Kluyveromyces lactis: one gene and its partners. The protein of the gene in region 1 interacts with the protein of each later gene in a pairwise test. Links are inferred from orthologs where the notes say so. Each region holds a gene or a part of one and is shown in the gene's direction. Other genes may lie near its edges. The genes, in order: URB1, ERB1 and DBP6.

Region 1 (3,761 bases):
TTAGAAGTCATGTAAATGAAGTGAACAATTTTCACCAATTACAAAGATATTAGTTGGCACACCCTACAAAAATCTCTTGACTTTAGTTTCTTCTGCTGCGATGTTGTATTCACCAGGGTTCTCTACGATAACATGCTTCTCAGTAGAAGGTTTGAATGCTAATCTTTTCTGTTCTCTTTGTCTCTCATAATCTAGCCATTCCTTATCTACAATAATATCGTCAGAACCCTTCTTCATAGAATCACTATCTAATTTTTTCGTCGGAGCTGCGATGCTGCTATTTGGTTGATCGATATCTTTCATGATATCCTGAAAGATATCTTCCAGTGATTCTTCTTCAATTTGTGAATTCATGCCTTTTATTACCCTTTCACGATCAATAATCTCTTTGGCCGCACGTTCACGTATCATCTTAGCTTCTCTTTCCAAATCAACAGAATTACCCAGCTCATGACGAGCGAATAGCTTGTTAACTAATTCTAGTTCCTTCTCCGCATTGTAATTGAAATCGCCTTGCTTCGTACGGTCGATCAAATCCTGTAGAATCTTAATCTTCATCTCATATCTTCTAACCATATCAGCATGTCTCTGCTGTTGGGCTGAAACACTTGTTAACACAGATCCGAATATCAATAGTGAAATTAATGGTTTAATAGCTGACTTATCAAATCTGGACTTCTTTGCGCCGTTGGTTGCATTGGTTGCAACTTCTGAATACGCTCTTCTTGAGACTTTCAAAAACCTATGTGCGAACATCTCTCTTCGTGGATCCAATTAAACGATGTACTTCGAAGAAAAGTTAAAGATTTGACGAAGCTGTTCTGGAACTCTGGAAGTAACTCATCGATGTTAATCAATTCCAAGCTTTTCATTCTGTCAACCGATATTGTTTATATCTTTTGTAAAAATAGTACATAATTTGCATAATAAGCAACAATAAACGCTAATATCTATCCTTGAGTGACCTTATTGTTACATGTATCATATCCCAGCTATCTAAAGCAGCATATATAAGACTATGGATTGTCTTACAAGCAGGTGAGGGAATATGCAAGGTGATAAGTTACTATTAATTAATTATGTCACGTGAAAATCGCATGACGCCCCGTCATATTTGGAAAATTTGTTTCTTTTAGCGTAGAATGGAAGAAAAAAATGTTGATCAAGCTCATCGCATCGATTGGGCATATACAATCATCACTTTGTTTTACTAAAATCTATGTAAGACAGTAGCATTGGTTCATTTTAAAACTTCAAGAAAGTGTGCTGGTTTATTGTAATATATATAAGCCGTTAATATCTAGCGTTTTTTGAACAGAAACTACATTGTGTTTGCGCTATGAATAACGACGACGGCTCCATGTTAGGGACCAGAAAAAGGAAATGGAAACAGAACCTTCCAAGTGTTAGTAATGTGAGCAGTGGTTTATTTGATGACCTGCAGATTCTTATCAACGGTATTGATTTACTCAATGTTGATGTTTCCAATAATTACCGCCCTGTAGCTGAGTTTTTCCAAAAGGGACTTGCTGTGCAATGCACACAAGGTTGGTCATATTATGCACAGGTGAATGAACATGCTAAGTTTGCTGAAACTACTATAAAGCTCAAAAAACTAATTGCCATTTTGAATTCGAATACCAGTGTTGTGCAATACGGATCCGTTATTATCCGTGATATACTTAATAATTACTGTAAAGTTCTTTACAGAGGTATCAATAATCTGCGTCCTTCGATAACGAATTCAGTATTTGGGTTAATGACAGAGATTGTACAGTTTAATAAAGGCCAGTTCGTTGATGAATTTTTGTCATATTTCGATTTGACGTTGGTAGCATTGTTGAAGGTTTTGAATCCAAGAAAGCTTGATAACCCAGATATTGAAGCTACTAGGAAATCAACTCACATCTCTATGAGGTCCAACTTCGTTAAATTTTGGATAACACTAGTTAAGAACGCACCGGCGGTACTAAGGAAGGATATTCTCAGTGACAATCAGAAAATTATGACCGCGTGGGTTAAGAATATGGTTAAAATGGACTCTGTTGAACTTATCGAGGAATCTCTACATCTATTTATTGATTGCATTCTAAAAGAAACGAGTTTTAGGAAGATGACCAAGAGTAAGATTTTAAATGAGTTCGTTGTGAATAGGTTGCATGAGTTTTACTATTCTCCAAATAAAGCCATTGTTTCCTTGATAGATGAATTCTTTCAAATCTATGGTGGCGATACGGACTTTGGTGTCGTATTTACCGACAAAACTTCTTGGTTTGAGGATAGTTCAAACTTGAAGTCAGGCGTTCCTGTGGTAATTAACCAGAAGGTATTCAAGTTACACAACAAGTTATTATACACCACATTAACATTTTTTAAGCCATGGGAAGATGATACACAATGTAATACAGTCATAAAAATTTTAGGTAACGTCCCAGAGTTGGTGGCTCCTTACTCAACGTACGTGTCATCTATGGGATCACATGACCCAAAGATGACAGCTTATTGGTTTGGTATGACATTGTTTTTGGGTAGAATGATCAATCTTCCCATTCCAGAATACGTCGAAACAGTAGATTCTGATAGTCTTCCATCCACAACAATTGTCGTGGAGTCGATTATTCCTTCTACTTTAACGAAAACAGCTCTTACGAAATGTCTGCAAAACAAAGTAAATCTAATCAGACAGATGGGAAGTCAATTGTTGGTATTTTCATTGAAGAAATTGGATAAAGTGCTGGACTTGTACAACGAAAAGGGATGGGATAATTCAAAGGCAATGCTCTTAAATGCTTATTTTTCGTACTTGCCAGATTTACCCGTTTTGACGACAGTTTTGAATATCTTATACACGGAATCCCCAACTAACAAAATTTTACCTTTGTCCTTAACCGTTATCCTCAATTACTATAGTAAAATATTCCCAAACTTCTTCAACGTCAATTTACCAGCTAGCAACATATATGTTGATATTATGAAAAGTGATCAATTTTCAGGAATGGATTTGGTTATCCTTGATAATTTCATGAAGTTCCAGGAACTAAATAACTCCCAAATCAAGTGGTGGAATGCCTCAAATAACGAAAACTCTCTATTCACATCGCTTTTAAGGCTCGCATCTTCGAAAAACGCTTCATCAATCGTCACTTCTAGAATATCGAATTTACTATTCAATTTGGTACAGTTCAGTAATATTTTCAAGATGAAAGAGCTAATAAGTTCTCCAATTTCAGCTTTAATTAATAGTTTATCGCTTTTGTCAAGTACTGGTTCCTCTTTTTCCACCTCGGAGCACATGAAGATTTTGAAACTATTGGATGAAGCCATTTCTAGATGTCATAAGACTCCGTATAAGTATGTTGATATGGCAAGGCAATATGAGAATCTATCACCTTTCCTTTTGACACTTGTTGAACAATGGAAATTTGTCCAAATTGATAACCCAAAAGAGTCAGTTATCGTCAAGTGGTTACTTATATTTTTCAGAAATATGCTGGTGCTAGGAGAGTCTGAAGTAGGTATTAGAAATCTACTTTCTAACGTTGAAAGTATACCTCATAATCTTGTCGAATTGTACTTATCCTTTACTGACGAGATCATTAAGAAAGTATCATCTCCGGAATACCTTTTGTTTTCAAATGATTCAACTTCTAGCTATGATCACATTTTGTTGCAATATTCCCCGAAGTTAAGCAAAATGAGCAGATTCCCTGTGAATTCTTTTGATGTAGCTGCTATTATTTTCCGTCTAAAGAAAACGATGT
Region 2 (3,753 bases), on another chromosome or scaffold:
TGGCCTAGATGGATCATAGACGGTCACGTGATGGTCTTGAGTGCGCGTGGAGGACGGTAGCTGCAGAGGACCTACAAGGGCATGGAGGCAATGAGTTGCCATGACGAAGTCTGACGACCATCCGAGTATATAAGTCGAGTATAAAAGGCTGAGCTATGTTGCGACCTCTTGGGGAGGTTGGACGCATATACTCAACGATCTAACTAAATAGATTATTATATTATATTCGTTATATTGTTTGATATCAACGATCCCTCATCAGGCGATTAATCAATCAACTATCATCCAAGGCATATCACAACAAGATCTGAGAGAACTACATGAGTATATGTTACATCGTTAAGAGTTTCTGAAGAAACGAAATAGGTCTCTCTTATCAGCGCCCCAAATTGGAATAATGAAGTTTACTGGAAATAGCTTCTTCAATGATGAAATTACAAACTTGAAAACGATGTTGCATCTACTAGAATAAAACTAAGATAACTGTCTATGATGCAAAAAAAATAAGAGTTAAGAATTACATTCATTGTAGGCTAGCGACCAAAGTAAATATCTTCAACGTAAGTAGAAGTATATGTGGAGTTGATTGAATACCAGTTCCCTATCTTTGCTGAAGGGTACTTTGACTTTTTCAAAATAGCATTCTTGTTCAAAACTTTGTAGAAGTAATTAATGTATCGTAATTTTCTTTCTTTTTGTTTCTTAAAATTTTCAATTTTCATCTTGAGAGATGAGATGAGATGAGCTGAAGTGAATAGACCACAGAGATAACCAGTACTTCTCAAAGTTAACGGCATCAGAAGAAGCTCTGAAAGTATAGAGAGCCAGAAAACAATACCAGAAACTATGGCCAGAAAGAATTCTTCTTTGAATGGTTCTGAATCAGCGGAGCTTGTTGTAAAAAAGAGAGTTCTCGAGGAATCTGAATTGTCCGATTCTGAAGATGAAAGAATTGAAGTTGATGGTTTAATCGATGAAGAGGCTAGCGAAAATGAAGCTGAGGAAGCTGAAGATGACGACTCTGATGCTGAATTCAATCGCTTATTAGCTGAAGAAGAAAATGGACAGGAGGAGGAGTATAATACTTCAGATTTTTCTGAAGAAGGCGATGCTTTTTCCATTACCGACAAATTGTCAAATGTAAAGTTAACAGTGATTCCAGAAACAAGCGATGAAGGCATTGTTCGTACCAAGTATTCAGATGGAAGACCAAGAATTCTTAAGTCAGAAATTAATCCTGTTTATGATAGTGATGATAGTGATGCAGAAGCTAAGAACACAATTGGTAACATCCCACTATCTGCATATGATGAAATGCCACATATTGGTTATGACATTAATGGTAAGAGAATAATGAGACCAGCCAAAGGATCTGCTTTAGATCAATTATTGGAATCTATAGAATTGCCAGAGGGTTGGACAGGTTTACTAGACAAAGACAGCGGTGCCTCTTTGAATTTGACCGAAGAAGAACTTGAATTAATCAATAAGTTGCAAAATAATCAACAGACGGACGAATCTGTGAATCCATACGAACCTTTAATCGACTGGTTCACTAGACACGAATCTGTAATGCCAGTTACGGCCGTCCCAGAACCGAAAAGACGTTTCGTTCCGTCAAAGCACGAAGCCAAGCGTGTGATGAAAATAGTCAAAGCAATCAGAGAAGGTAGAATTATCCCACCAAAGAAACTAAAGGAATTAAGAGAAAAAGAAGAACAAGACAGTCATAACTACGATCTCTGGGGAGATGCCGAAGAAATCTCTGAACATGTTATGAACTTGAGAGCCCCAAAATTGCCACCACCAACAAATGAGGAGTCTTACAACCCTCCGGAAGAGTATCTTTTGACCCCAGAGGAAATTGATGCATGGGAAAAGATGGAACCAAGTGAAAGAGAGAGAAATTTTGTGCCTCACAAATTCGCTGCATTAAGAAAAGTTCCAGGTTACTCTGAATCTGTCAGAGAAAGGTTTGAAAGATCATTAGATTTGTATTTAGCGCCTCGTGTTCGCAAAAATAAGTTGAACATTGATCCTGAATCTTTGATCCCAGAATTGCCCTCTACAAAAGATTTGAGACCATTTCCAATCCGTTGCTCTACCGTTTATGTCGGTCATAAAGGAAAAATTCGTACAATGTCCATTGATCCAACTGGATTATGGTTGGCTACTGGTTCCGATGATGGCACTGTCAGAGTATGGGAAATTCTTACAGGTAGAGAAGTTTACCAAGTCACAATACTTAATGCGGAAGAAAACAATGATGACCACATAGACGTTGTTGAATGGAATCCCGACAGTACTACCGGTATCCTTGCGGTTACTGCTGGCGAAAACATCTTCTTGCTTGTTCCACCAATTTTCGGCTTTGAAATTGAAAACACAGGTAAATCAAAGATTGAATACGGTTTTGGTTTCGATACTTTCGGAAACGTCAAAAAGAGTAATCTCAATGTGAATAGCGATGATGAGGATGACGGTGCTGAATCACATGCTGTCAAGAAACAGGTTGCTCAATGGAATAAACCAACCGAAAGGCAAGCTGCCAATGATATTTGTATCGTAATAACTTGTCGTAAATCAGTGAAAAAGCTTTCATGGCATAGAAAAGGTGATTACTTTGTCACTGTTCAACCAGACTCAGGTAATACATCAGTTTTGATTCATCAATTATCCAAGCATTTAACTCAATCGCCATTCAAAAAATCTAAGGGTATCATTATGGATGCAAAATTCCATCCATTCAAGCCACAGCTCTTGGTCTGTTCTCAAAGATACGTCAGAATTTATGACCTATCGCAACAAGTGCTAATCAAGAAACTTCTACCTGGTGCTCGTTGGTTATCTACTATTGATATTCACCCAAGAGGTGATAACTTAATTGCATCCTCGTTTGACAAGAGAGTGTTGTGGCATGATCTTGACCTTGCAAGCACTCCATATAAGACCTTGAGATACCATGAGAAGGCTGTAAGAAGCGTAAGTTTCCACAAGAAACTACCACTGTTTTGCTCAGCTGCGGATGATGGTAACATCCATGTTTTCCATGCCACGGTCTATGACGATTTAATGAAGAACCCTATGATCGTCCCGTTGAAGAAACTAACCGGCCACAAGATTGTGAATAGTTTAGGTGTTCTAGATACTATATGGCATCCACGTGAAGCTTGGCTATTCTCTGCAGGTGCCGACAAAACCGCTCGTTTGTGGACTACCTGATAGAACCCTCATGACGGGATATTTGTAAAACACTGTATACTATGGACATCATTACCTATCAATATTACAAGTAGATACTTTCTAATTAGTGTTCAAGGGAATACATTATTATCTTTGGATCAGAGCTCAAAAGGTATCCATGTCTCTCATCATTGCCATTTCCTCATCTGATGCGATATCATTACCGTTATTTGTTGTGCTGGCAACGGTCGTAATTTTACTCAATTCGTCTAACTCTTCAGCGTTAGGCAGAGCGTAGCCATTTTGTGTATGTTGCCGTATGTTTGTATCAGTGGTGGACAACATTTCATTCGTGTGCCGCTGGTGATGCGAAGAATATAGAACATCATCATCATCATCATCATCATCATCATCGTCATAGTTGCCGTCATTATTCTGATTTTTGTCTTTGTCTAGGCTGATAATTTTGGTGGCTTCATAACCATACTGTGCATTTCCGCGGTCAGTCGCTGAGGTAGATTCATCCGTTACAAATAAGCTATTTCGTCCCTGATGAGCAGGTAGTACGCC
Region 3 (3,297 bases), on another chromosome or scaffold:
TTTTACTTCAATTATTATATATAGTACTCGTTATGATTAACATTTGCATCTATTTAACAATGAGAAACACCATTAACTCCCAATTAATCGAGAGCACTTGTTCAATAAATCATTTCTTAGTAATAGATACAGTTACGTATGGAGTACACGGTGGTACATGAACTTCCAGGTGTGATTTTATATACATGCTGCTGTCTGACTAACTTTGTGCTTTTCATAAATGTCAAATCATTTGTTCTTAGTTTGAGTATAACTGAATCTCTTTCTTGTTGGTACGAATTCTCCTAGCTTACTTCCTACCATATCTTCTGTCACTTCAAACGCGACATACTCCTTACCATTATGCACTTGGAATTTCAGTCCGACAAATTGAGGTAATATGGTGGCAGATCTGGCATTTGTTCTAATGGGCGTACCTTTGGCCAATGCTTCTTTTATTGGTAATGGGACTATATTTGGACCTTTCCATACAGAACGTGATAGTAATCTCAATGACGGGAACATTTTATGACGTTATGAGTGTTATCGTAGACGCGAGATATTTGTCTAACTGCTGGAACCTTTGGCTGACTGATATCATGGTAGTGACTTAACTCTATTATATCTTGTCGTTATTTCAAGTTTTACAGATTGAAATTTTTTATGAATTCCGTTCTGAAATAAAATAATAGACGAATGGCGATGAGATGTAATATGATGCGATGAGCTTCAGGAATTTAGAAGGTCAGTAACAGCATAGCGACAGCATAACGATAGCATCCAGTCAATAACATGTTTGCTGCAAGGTTTGATCCTACTAAGGTGACTGAAAATGTACTAACAGCTGAAGTCACACAAATAAAAGAACCCACTGTGCCCCAAAAGAGGAAAAGAGATGCGGAAACTGATGATGAAGGCTCTGGTGAGGACGATGCTTCCAGCAGTGAGGATGATGCTTCCAGCAGTGAGGATGATTCCGATACAATTAGTGAGCAAGATGAAAACAAGGTTGCATCTGTTGCGCCTACAGAAACTTCTCAGCAATCAGTTGATGCAAAGCACAGTTCCGTATTAAATAGATTTCAACAGACTCTTTCCCTGCAAGGTGCGTTGAGCGCTTCAGACAAGGTCAGTAGTGACAACGATGTACACGATGAGGACGTATCCATGAAAGATGTTCACAGTCTTACCCCAATTCCTCAACCGGCCAAAGTGACCAATGAAGCCTTGAAGCTTCTAGATCCGTCTACATATAAATCCACTGCGTGGGATGCAGCAACCAAAATTCATTACGATAGTAAAATGGTTAAACAATTCGATAGCTACGAAGGTGAATTAGATGCACGTCTGCTTAAAAATATTACCTCCAATTTCTCATCTGAAACGTTCCCTATTCAGACCATTCTATTCGATAAAGTGCTCCCGCTTCTAAACTCATCTTTTAAAGCAAACAGAAAACTTTTCACAAGACGAGTTGGTGATATATTAGTAAACGCATCAACTGGTTCCGGTAAGACCTTAGCATATTCTGTCCCTTTGGTTCAAATTTTGAGATCTAGAACAGTGAATAAAGTTAGGGCAATAATTTTGGTTCCTACTAAAATTTTAATTCATCAAGTCTACGATTGTCTCTCTAAACTAAGTCAAGGGACCAGTCTCAATGTATCAATGTCGAAACTCGAGAACTCCTTGAAAGAAGAACACAACAAATTTTTGTATAACTCTCCAGACATTCTAATCATCACTCCGGGCAGACTGGTCGATCACTTGCAGATGGAATCATTTGACCTAAAAACTTTGAAGTTCTTAGTCCTTGATGAAGCAGACCGACTATTAAATCAGTCATTCCAAAATTGGAACCAAGTGCTTTTCCACCATTTGACAAACGATAAGCAGGATAAACGTCCAGGAAACGTAATCAAAATGGTCTTTTCTGCTACTTTGACTACGAATGCAGAAAAGTTGTACAATTTGTATCTCCACAACCCCAAGATCTTCCTCACAGATTCTGTTAAATTATATTCAATACCTAAGAAATTGCAAGAACTCAATGTCAATATTCCTACTGCTAAGAGTCTGTTCAAGCCACTACTCTTACTAAGAATAATACACGACATCAAGAGCAGTGCTTCGAGAAACGCTAAAATATTAGTGTTTGTGAAGAGTAACGAAGCTTCGATCAGATTAGAAAGCTTATTACATGCCATGTTAGGATCAGGAATAATTGAAGATGAGTATAATATGTTCCTTTCATCAATTCATTCGAACATCTCGAAGGGTAGTAGCAGAAAACTAATACAGGAATTTGCATCCTCAGAACAAAAGAAATCAGTTTTAATTTCAACGGACATAATGGCTAGAGGTATCGATATAAATGAAATTACTCATGTGATAAACTATGATCTACCGATCTCCTCTCAACAATATGTTCATCGTTGTGGTAGAACTGCAAGGGCTAATACTGAGGGTATAGCAATTAACCTTCTAGTTGGTAAGGGTGAACAGAAATTCTGGTCACAACATATTGACACTGACCTCAGTCGTGACATTGATGGTTATCAACCATCTGCTTACCTTGACGAAGAAAAGTTGTCTGAATTATTCTCTATTGAAGACACTTTGAAGGATACGTACAAGGGTTGTATCAAACAACTCCAAACCAGCAAAGAAGCAGACAGTAAATAGCATATTATCACTAAATAAGTAAAAAGATCATAGTAACTGTACCCCATTCTTGGGGCTCGTCTAAGTGATATTTGAGAAGGCACTAATGATCTTATACTTACTATCTATTTTGCCTCTTCTGATGAGTTGATCATGTGACATGTTATTTATTGTTCGAGCAGTGTTTTTCCTCCACTTTAGAACTTTCTTTACCTTAAATTGATATGTGATTGATCGTTCAGAATCACTGAAACACTATAAACCTTCAAAGTACCTTAGGCAGGTTAAACTGTCTTAACTAGTGCTTGTTAACACATATAAGTAGTCAGAGAATAACCGCTAGATACTTCTGATGTCACCGTCAAAATATTTACTAACTCCTCCGGAGGAATTACATCCGCTCACCGACTCCAACCCACAAATCTATCCTGATTTTGATCCGTGGATTCACACCAAAGAGGAGGATAAGATACTTAAAGAGTTCGTGGCAAAAGGCTACTATACTGCTTCTAGGGTAAACTTTGAAACCATTTCTGCTCGTTCAGCTTTACAAGGATCACTTCCCAAAGTTTCCTCATTGTTAGGAGATGAATTATCCAAGATTATTGAGATACGAGAACAAGAAATTAATAGGATAAGTACACTGGACATAGA

Evidence for each region.
Region 2: the proteins of URB1 (region 1) and ERB1 interact in binary tests that used the Saccharomyces cerevisiae proteins (3 or more experiments, as listed by UniProt). The link is inferred for Kluyveromyces lactis from reciprocal best matches to the Saccharomyces cerevisiae genes URB1 and ERB1.
Region 3: the proteins of URB1 (region 1) and DBP6 interact in binary tests that used the Saccharomyces cerevisiae proteins (3 or more experiments, as listed by UniProt). The link is inferred for Kluyveromyces lactis from reciprocal best matches to the Saccharomyces cerevisiae genes URB1 and DBP6.

Annotation. Positions count from the first base shown.
Region 1 is NC_006041.1:1,618,489-1,622,249, reverse strand, and holds the start of URB1 (Urb1p), read left to right. Parts: upstream 1-1,339; coding exon 1,340-3,761. Other genes in the region: INA22 (Ina22p), read right to left, coding at 64-756. UniProt on the Saccharomyces cerevisiae protein: Required for 60S ribosomal subunit formation and pre-rRNA processing. Required for normal accumulation of 25S and 5.8S rRNAs.
Region 2 is NC_006042.1:2,461,030-2,464,782, forward strand, and holds ERB1 (ribosome biogenesis protein ERB1), read left to right. Parts: upstream 1-846; coding exon 847-3,222; downstream 3,223-3,753. Other genes in the region: CSM3 (Csm3p), read right to left, coding at 3,349-3,753.
Region 3 is NC_006042.1:665,337-668,633, reverse strand, and holds DBP6 (putative ATP-dependent RNA helicase DBP6), read left to right. Parts: upstream 1-771; coding exon 772-2,664; downstream 2,665-3,297. Other genes in the region: RSM19 (mitochondrial 37S ribosomal protein uS19m), read right to left, coding at 229-504; SRB8 (Srb8p), read left to right, coding at 2,996-3,297. UniProt on the Saccharomyces cerevisiae protein: ATP-binding RNA helicase involved in the biogenesis of 60S ribosomal subunits and is required for the normal formation of 25S and 5.8S rRNAs.